2 linked regions of the Oryzias latipes genome follow. Each later gene encodes a partner of the first gene's protein in a complex. Links are inferred from orthologs where the notes say so. Each region holds a gene or a part of one and is shown on either strand. Other genes may lie near its edges.

Region 1 (4,517 bases):
TGAGAAGGTACAGCTGTAGTTCTGAAGATGGGAGAGAGAAGACAGCAGTGACGGAGCCATCGTCACATGAAGTCCTCATAGTCTTGGGCGTAACCACCATCAAACTCTGCATAGTCAAGGTCATCTCTCAGCTGTGCTTTCAAACCGCCTCCAGCTATAACACCTTTCTTCTTCTTCTTTCCCTTGTTTTGCTGTGAAAGCAAAAACAGATAAAAATTAAGCTGAAATTGAGAAGACAAACTTCTCAACAATGCCATGTGTCAACAGCGCCCCCTTTTGTACAAGTAGTCACTTTTAGATGATCAAGAACTTACTTTTTCTTGTTTCTGTTTTTCACTAAGTAGAACCGAAAGGGAATTACTGACTTTCTTTAAGTCCTCTACTTCCACTGCATGAAAAAGAAAAAAGATGCACATATTAGGCCGGCTTGGATTTATAAAGAAAATGGCATTTAAGAAGTGATGTTGAGGATAAATGAAACTGAGGTCTTCCTTACATGAAATACAAAGTTCCCGAAACAACGATTCCAAAAAACTTGAATAATGCACAGACTTTTCAAACTGGGATATCTTTTCTTTCAGCACTTTTTCAAATTCTGTGAATTCTTCTTTGGAGGATGGACACATGGCATCAATGCCGGTGACACTGCCAACACCTGAGGTGAGAGAAAGAAAAAAAAAAAAAACGTTTTTAGATGTCTTCTAAGAACAAAAAGTTACATTAAAAAAAAGTTTTTCATTGGTGCAACAAATGTTTTTAATTGTAAAAATAGTGTAGAGCAAAATCCTTTCTTTTTAACTTCCTGGAAAGAGAGAAATGAAGAGGCCAACTCTTTCTTACCAAAAGCATCTTTTGCTAACTCCAAGTCAGCCTCTTCCTGTAGTTTTTTCACTCTTAACTTTTCTGCAAGTTGTTCTTCAGGAGTTAGTTCCTCTTGTTCCTAAAGAAAGCAAAAAAACAATAACATTATAGGAATATTGTTTTACCGTTTAAATAAAAAAAGGCCATAGCAACACATACTTGCTCTTGCAACTCCTGCTGTTTCTTCTTTAACCGGTTTTCCTTCTCTTTGATCTTTTCACTTAACCTTTTCTTATCAGAAACTTTCGTCTCTGTAAACACAAGTTTGAAACATTTCAACATTCATACCCATAAAAATGCAAGTTTTTCCTAATGATTATAGTACCTGGTTTCTTCGCCTCCTCCTTTTTCTTCTCATCATCTTCCTCCTCATCATCATCCCAGTTATCCTAAAAAAAAGAAAGAAAGAAAACATATTTAGGTTATTTCCAGAAAAAAAAGGTTGATTTAAAAATGTATTTTTACTTCTTTTTTAAATTAGTTTATCTTAATTTGGTTTATACCAGAAATTCCTGAGCTTTATTTTATTGCATTTATTGCAACATTAACCACTTTGTCTTTTGCAACATGTTGCCAAATCCTATCCCTCAAATCCACAGAAATGTCTTCACCCACTTTGTGAAGCCTAACTCAAGCTTTTACAACATGTGATCTCAAATGAGATGACAGAACAATTCATTAAGCAAAAATAAATAAAACTCATTAACCTAAATAAAATAATTGCAACAGCACCTAGTACTTATTGACTATTAATGTTTCCCCAAAAACAAGGTTACTGTTCCTTTAGTAGTGGGTAGTGTACTTTATTTTAATAAATGAATTAATAAATTAGTTACGTTAGTTTAAACTTATGAGATATTTTCACTAAAAGAGCAGTTTTATTCAGAAATGACCATCCATGTCCAATTATCACTTATGAAACAGTACACTTGCTTACATAGCAAACTACTAGCAAAAAAAAAGTAAATTTTTTCCCAAGCTTTGACACCATGGCATATGTGACCAAATAAATAAATATACATTTATCCCAGGAAGGCCTACACTAAGACTTTCCACGGCTGAACTATTTGGGAAGAAACACGATATTTTCATATAAGCCACCTGAGCTGCAGTGTCAGCTGAGCCGCAACAGCTCAAAACTCCTGCTCAGCCATCGTAAAGTCGGAAAATTCTAGGCCTCCTTTTGGCCGAGTTGAATCATCAGCAGAGAGAATGATTTCCTCTGACTGAGGCTAAGTTGGTAAGCGAGCTATTAGCTAACGTCAGCAGACCGGAGCCCACAGTTACTGCCATTATTCACCTATTTTCACTTTACCACTTTTGGTAAAAAGAAGAAAAAAAGTTGGACTTTTCTGACATTTCTTTTTTAAAATAAGCATCGTCGTGCCCAGCTGAGCGTCCAAAACAGGCTAACTGTTAGCAAATATCTATGCCAATAAATCCTCTAAAATGAAAAGTATATTTCAAAGTCTAAACTATAAACCAAAGCAGATATTATTTCTATTGTTAATAGTTTGCTAAAACAACGTTCAGTTGTCACTTAGTGAAACCCGGACGGAGGGCTGGTGTTAGCTCAACATTGGACAGTCTGTGGAAGCACGCGAGTTAGCCATCCGCTAGCTAACATACAGCTAACACAGTTCTAAGGTTGGGCTTGACGGACACGGAGGAAGCGTGGCATCAAGAGCGATCTGCTTTAAGCCTAACGTCGGCGTGACTCTCGTGAACGACCCGCTAAAAAAACAATACAGATATACCTGAATTTAAATATACACGTTAAGACTATGACATGATGAAGGCATACCTTAACATCTTCCTCTTCGTCTTCGCCTTCCCATTTGTCCATAACTGCAACAACAACTGCCGCCTTTTTAAGCGGCTCCTCTGGCTCGAAGGTCTCGGCGTCTACAATAAGAAAAAACATTCAATATGCGAAGACAACTCGCTATAATCTTATGGTGATATAGTTTTCAACTTTTAAAAGAAGTTTACAACAAGACTACGGTGTATAAATATATTCCATTCCCAACTTAGTTTCTTACCCCAGTCCGCCATGTTGGCTGTGTTTGACAGGCTCGGAGAAACGTGAAGGCTGCTGCCGCTGGGCATGCTCAGTAGCTGCTCCTGACGTCACCGCGAGTTTATGTGACGTCCCCGAGCCAAAAGAGCTATTTCAGGCGAGGAATTTATTCACGATGATTTAAAACAAACAAAGAAAAACTTACAAAAATGATTTCTAGATTATTTTCACAATTATAAGGAACGACTGCCAACCCCCTTATAAATGTTCAAAAACGTAAACACTATGGCAGAAATAACAATATAAAAACAATTAATGAAAAACGTATAAATATTTGTAATTATTAATCTTTTTTTTTTCTATTTTCTTTTCAGGTGGACCAACTTTTTATACCACTTTTTTCTTCACAAGTTCTTGTAAATAATGTCTATCAAAAATATGTTTTTTCTTGGATCTACAGAATCAGGACGCCCATAATGTTTCAAGGTTACTAAACACAAAAGAAAAATTCTAAGATAACAGAGATTTATTTCAAAGAAAATTTTAAACAATTACAGAGTAATAAATGAATTTGTTTTTTCTAAGAGTATCCCTGGTTTGAATAAATATTGAACATTTGTCCTGTTAGATATGATTCGGAACTTATAATATTTGAAAAAGACTGATGAATAGATTACTGTTGGGTTTGCGGTCCCCTGATTCTTGCCTTATGACTGCCAGGATTTGTTTTTTAGACCTCCGAAAGTCCTGAAATGTATGCAAAACATTTGAGGTTATCAGTGAGAGAAGATCTAAGAACAAAAGACAGAAAATGTAAAAATATACATTGTGAAATAAAAGTTTAATTGTTGGTTCCTTTTAATAAAGTAACAGTCATTCAGAGCCCAAGTGGTTTAACTGAACATTTCAGCTAAAAGTTAAAGAAAATTAAGCAAGCACAACAATAATAAACTCACAGCAACAATAGACTGTCATTGATAAGCACTAATACTTCCAGTCTTAACTATTGACTATATACACAAAATAACCTGACAGTTTGCAGTAACATACAGACAAATAAAAAATGTCAATACATTTTTTCATTTGCAAAAAATTTACATTTTTTCCTTGTCAATATACATGTTTTTAGAAAAATAAATGTTAACTTTTATTTATTGTAGGTTTTATATGGGGTTTAAATGAAAACGCTGCAAAATGTTATAATTGTGTTTTTATATCAAAAGCAAAGCTGTACTTTTAGCTAATTTGAAAAAAAAAGGGAATTTGCAACAACGTTCACTAAAATGTCAGGAAACATGACATGAAGAACTCCAGATATGTTGCTTATTTCCTCTTCACAAAAACTGTATCTTGCTTATTTGCTTATATTTTTTATTGTGCTTTGTATCACAGTCCTGAAGCAGCTTAGAAGAGTGAGGTTATGTATCATGGCAGAATGAGACAGTTAGCTGCATCAGTAGTCCAAATATGAGACATGAAGGATTGATGCCAACCACCAAGCCCATTGACCTCCCTGTGAGAAACAGAAAAAACAAAATCAGACCTATTAATATAACACAATAGCCATGCAAAATGGCACCTTATTCAACTGTCATTTCAAAAGAAGGCATGTTGCAGGTAAGTTAACCAAAGAACA
Region 2 (4,432 bases), on another chromosome or scaffold:
GGAGGGGAAAACGGAGTTCTCCAGCGCCATGACAGGTGTGTGTATGTGTGTATGCGTGACGGCGTATCAGTGTGTTATTGATCTCCTCCCTATTGTTGATTGTGTCCAGCAGCTATTGATTGGAACATTTGTTGGCTTGACTGAAGCCTGGAACAAAGAGGGGCACAATGATCAAATTAAATCATACCATCGACCTGTTGGGGCCATTTATTGTCTGAAGTAAATCGAATGATCCTCTTTAAAGATTGTCATAAATACAGGTGAACATTTACTGTTTTCTTTAAACCTCTTAAAGGCATTTGTCTCATGAAACTAAACTCTACAGACAAATAAATCTGTGATCTTGTTCCCTTAAAGACATCATGATCTCTGTGCACATCTGACCATGCACATTTAATGAAGCAGCCTTTATAAAACGCCTCGGGCTGGGTGCATGCGTGGTCCTTCAGTGTGTGTGCGCGTTGTGTAAGTGCACTTTACTGCTATTTTAAATTTTGAGGACTTGCATTATAGTCCTATTGGGATGTCTTACATAAGTGTCGGAGAGCAGTCTGGGTTAAGAAGGTGTGAGGGGAATATTTGCACAGTAAAATGGAGCGCGGGTCGTGCGTCCTGCGTCCAACCACAGCTGGTGGATGGACGCAGGAGACTGATGTAATTATATAGCGGCTATGAAGATGACGCACCACCTCAGATGGATGCATCAGAAATAGCCTCAGTAAAGGATGCCCGTGAGTCAGTACGCCGCAGAGAACGAGCTAAATCCTACCTGTTTGGTGCAGCAACTTGTAGATAAGATCTTCTTTTATGGGCAGATCAGGAGAAACGGGGTCCAAAAACGAGCCGGTTCTGGCACCTTTGTTTCGATGACACCCATTTCTGGTGTTTAGCAGCGACGCCGCATCAGTACACTCCTGTTCGCTCCTCCAGGAAAACAAAAGAAGAAGAAAAAGCACTCAGTAAACCGCGCAGGAAAAACCCAAAATCACGACCCATCCAGACAATTATCGAGAGTAAAGAGTTGAAGGCAGCGGGAGAACATTTGTCGTGCAGTGGATGTGCGAAATGGTGGCAGAGGGGCAACCCGGCAGCAGCTCCATCATCTGCGCGTCCGATGGAGTCGGTCAGGTGTGAGTGAGGCTGTGAGCGACGCAGGAGGCTGTCATCAGTGCAGCCCCCGTCCACCTCACTGCCTCAGACGCACAACAGGGAGAGACACCCCCCCCCGGAGCCTGTTTGCGGAGTTCACAGAGGAAATGTGGACTTAATTCACTTACAATGTAACCGCATACACCTGATTAACAGTGGACATAAAACATAAAATCAAACGCACTACATTCTTGATATAAAATAACATTAGTGTTGGTTTAAAAACCGATTTTGTTGTTTTTTATTATTAAAACACTTCTATTAAAAAACATTATTAGCAGCACTGTCAACAGCACAATCGCCCCCTGTGTATCTATATTTAGTCATATTAATAAAATATGTGTGAGTTTATTTTTAAATCTGTTCATTGGTTGCTGCCCATTCGGCCTCCAGCCTCTAGGTGGCAGTATATGTGTTCGCTCGAGCCGGTAAACGGTCCTCTTTTTTCAAGATGTCGGTGTACGGGCCAGTGGTGAAAATCCATCCCGTCGTTCTCGCATCTATCTGCGACTCGTATGAGCGAAGGAATGAGGGAGCCAGCCGTGTGATCGGAACCCTTTTGGGTAAGCATTAAATTCATGTTTACGTCTTGTCGCAGGAGGATGGATGTTTTCAGAGCGCTAGCGGTGGCTAGCATACGGCTAGCTTTAGCTTGCTAGCTAACGCACGCTGGCTTAGTTTAAACCAATGGTGAAGTCCAGCTGCTAGCTAGCCGACATGTTTTCAACATTACGATTTGTGTAAACAAAACAAACAAAAAAGAATTTTAGCGAGTGAATTGTCATGAATTATATACATAATACAAAGCATCTATATCAATAACGGTTTAACTTTTTTGTCGCTTTCAGGTACAGTTGACAAACACTCAATTGAGGTGACGAACTGCTTCTCTGTCCCCCACAATGAGTCAGAAGATGAGGTGAGTGTTAAACATTAGCGAAATTTAATTGTTTTGCACTTCAACTTAAGGTTAAAAATGTCTCAAACTTTATTTTCTCTTAAAATCTTGGAGAAAGCTTGTACCTATAGCATGATGAATCATATTGCATTTAAGATGACTTCTGTGTTTATTTGAATGATCGATACTTCTGTACTTCATAAATTTATGTAACATTTAACAGGATTTGTTTGTATTTGTTGCCCTTTTTAACACTTGCAGCTTGTTTTGCTGTGATGGCGTACAATAATTCTGCTGCTCAGAAATGATCAGTAAACTAGTTTGTCTGTCTTCAACACCTGAACTAACAAACTGAAAACTATACAAATGTGTCTATCCTCCTGACTACCAGCAATACAAATGTGTTCGGCTGATCCTTTTGCATTCACCTGATGCTGTGTCATCAACGTTATGCTTCATGAGGCGACTTTAAGAAGAATACGTTTCTAGTTTGAAACGGTGAAAAAGTTACTGCCACAATCCTATTTGTTTTCTCAACACACCTCAAATACAATGTGCACGTTCCTCCTTTTTTGAAGGAGTGATCTTCTGTCTGTCCTATTGACAACAGGTCGCTGTTGACATGGAATTTGCAAAAAACATGTATGAGCTTCACAAGAGGGTGTCGCCCACAGAGGTCATCATCGGATGGTGCGTTAGCCGTTTGTATCCGGATACCTATACTCAACAGCTAAAGTTTTCAGATACATTTAAAAGGTGACCTTTTTCCACCAGGTATGCCACAGGCTTTGACATCACTGAACATTCTGTGCTCATCCATGAGTATTACAGCCGTGAAGCCTCCAACCCCATTCACCTGACTGTGGACACGGCATTGCAGAGTGGCAAAATGAACATCCGGGCCTATCTCAGGTAAGCGGATCTGTGCTGCCAACTTGTGTCGTCGTGTTGAGGTTGAGAGGAATCTAAATGTGTTTGTGTATGTCTTACACAGCGCACAGATGGGTGTGCCAGGAAAGACCGTCGGCGTCATGTTTACCCCACTCACCGTCAAATATATCTATTATGACACTGAGAGAATAGGCGGTAAGCAGAAGATACTCTGGTGGTAAAAAGTCTTACTTTTGAGTTATTGGGTTAAAAAATGTTTGTCCCCGTTTCAAATGCACTTCAGAAATGTATGTTTGCGTTTGTAAGATTTGTTCAAAAGCAAATGTACATTTCTATAGCTGGACTTGAATATTTGTTTGTTTTTAGTGGACCTTCTTCAAAGGACACGGGATGCTCCGAGTCGCTCCAAGGGTCTGACCTCTGACCTGTCCCAGGTGGGTGGAGCTGCAGCCAGGGTACAGGACATGCTGACTACGGTGCTGGCATACATTGACGATGTGTTGGTGAGTATTAAGGCTGTCACAAAAAAAATAAAACAAGAAGACATCCTGTGTTGGCACATATGACAAAGTGAAGTGGGTGATCTCTGGTGAAAACCTGTTGGATCTGTTCCAGTCTGGGAAAGTGGCAGCAGATAACAGCGTTGGCCGGTTCCTCACAGACCTGGTGAACAAGGTGCCGACCATCCCACCTGAGGACTTTGAGAACATGCTCAATTCTAACATCAATGTAAGTGCTTCCCCTGATACTGTAATTACAATTTGCATGAGGTTTTTTTTTACCCTTTTGTACTTCTTGACATTGTGAAGATTAAAAGATACTAGCATCTGTACGACTGTGGAACTGGAATTGTTTCTGTGAAATTCAGTTGTGTGTATTTTCTACATGGACGTGCTTGTGGTTTGCTGCAGGACCTGTTGATGGTGACGTACCTGTCCAACCTCACCCAGGCACAGATTGCCCTGCACGAGAAGCTGGTGCTGCTCTCCTGAAATGAACTATTTAAACTTTCTTATTGTTTGGCTGAAGCAAATAAAATGTTAAACAGTCGCATCATGATGTTTTCTTTGGGGTGGGGTGGATCTTACATATAAGAACATCTCAAATTTAAGTTTACCACTAATTAAGAAAACATGTTGAGTATTTGTGACAGTGGTATTGCGTGTTTATTCAGCTTACATTTACTCTTTGAGGTTTCAAAGTGACAATAGTGTTTAAACTCTTTATTTCAGATTATAAAGAGGATTTGGTCAAATGCACAGAACTCTTAAAGTGGAGGAATAATTATGAAAAAACTTTAAATATATTTACTTTGTATTTCCTCAGTAACTTCATTTAGTACTTTTTGTCCTATTCAAGTAACAGTAGACAGCACGTGAGACTCCGTTAAAGTGTTTCAAGTTCTTTTATCCAAAGCAAAATATTGATCTTTATCATTAAATATACATTCAAATCCGTAGCAGAGGTCAATTATTAAAGGCAAAGTCTGGCCTG

The links.
Region 2: eif3j (region 1) and eif3f share a complex: the UniProt entries of both Homo sapiens proteins name them as parts of the eukaryotic translation initiation factor 3 (eIF-3) complex. The link is inferred for Oryzias latipes from reciprocal best matches to the Homo sapiens genes EIF3J and EIF3F.

The regions. Positions count from the first base shown.
Region 1 is NC_019861.2:18,399,351-18,403,867, forward strand, and holds the start of eif3j (eukaryotic translation initiation factor 3 subunit J), read right to left. Parts: upstream 3,019-4,517; 5' UTR 2,971-3,018; coding exon 2,904-2,970; intron 2,767-2,903; coding exon 2,666-2,766; intron 1,251-2,665; coding exon 1,187-1,250; intron 1,113-1,186; coding exon 1,021-1,112; intron 941-1,020; coding exon 841-940; intron 656-840; coding exon 497-655; intron 389-496; coding exon 315-388; intron 192-314; coding exon 63-191; 3' UTR 1-62. Other genes in the region: stereocilin, read right to left, coding at 4,300-4,394. UniProt on the Homo sapiens protein: Component of the eukaryotic translation initiation factor 3 (eIF-3) complex, which is required for several steps in the initiation of protein synthesis.
Region 2 is NC_019875.2:2,469,633-2,474,064, forward strand, and holds eif3f (eukaryotic translation initiation factor 3 subunit F), read left to right. Parts: upstream 1-1,559; 5' UTR 1,560-1,600; coding exon 1,601-1,712; intron 1,713-1,997; coding exon 1,998-2,068; intron 2,069-2,657; coding exon 2,658-2,737; intron 2,738-2,821; coding exon 2,822-2,959; intron 2,960-3,041; coding exon 3,042-3,133; intron 3,134-3,304; coding exon 3,305-3,441; intron 3,442-3,553; coding exon 3,554-3,667; intron 3,668-3,849; coding exon 3,850-3,930; 3' UTR 3,931-3,991; downstream 3,992-4,432. Other genes in the region: G protein-activated inward rectifier potassium channel 3, read right to left, coding at 1-30. UniProt on the Homo sapiens protein: Component of the eukaryotic translation initiation factor 3 (eIF-3) complex, which is required for several steps in the initiation of protein synthesis.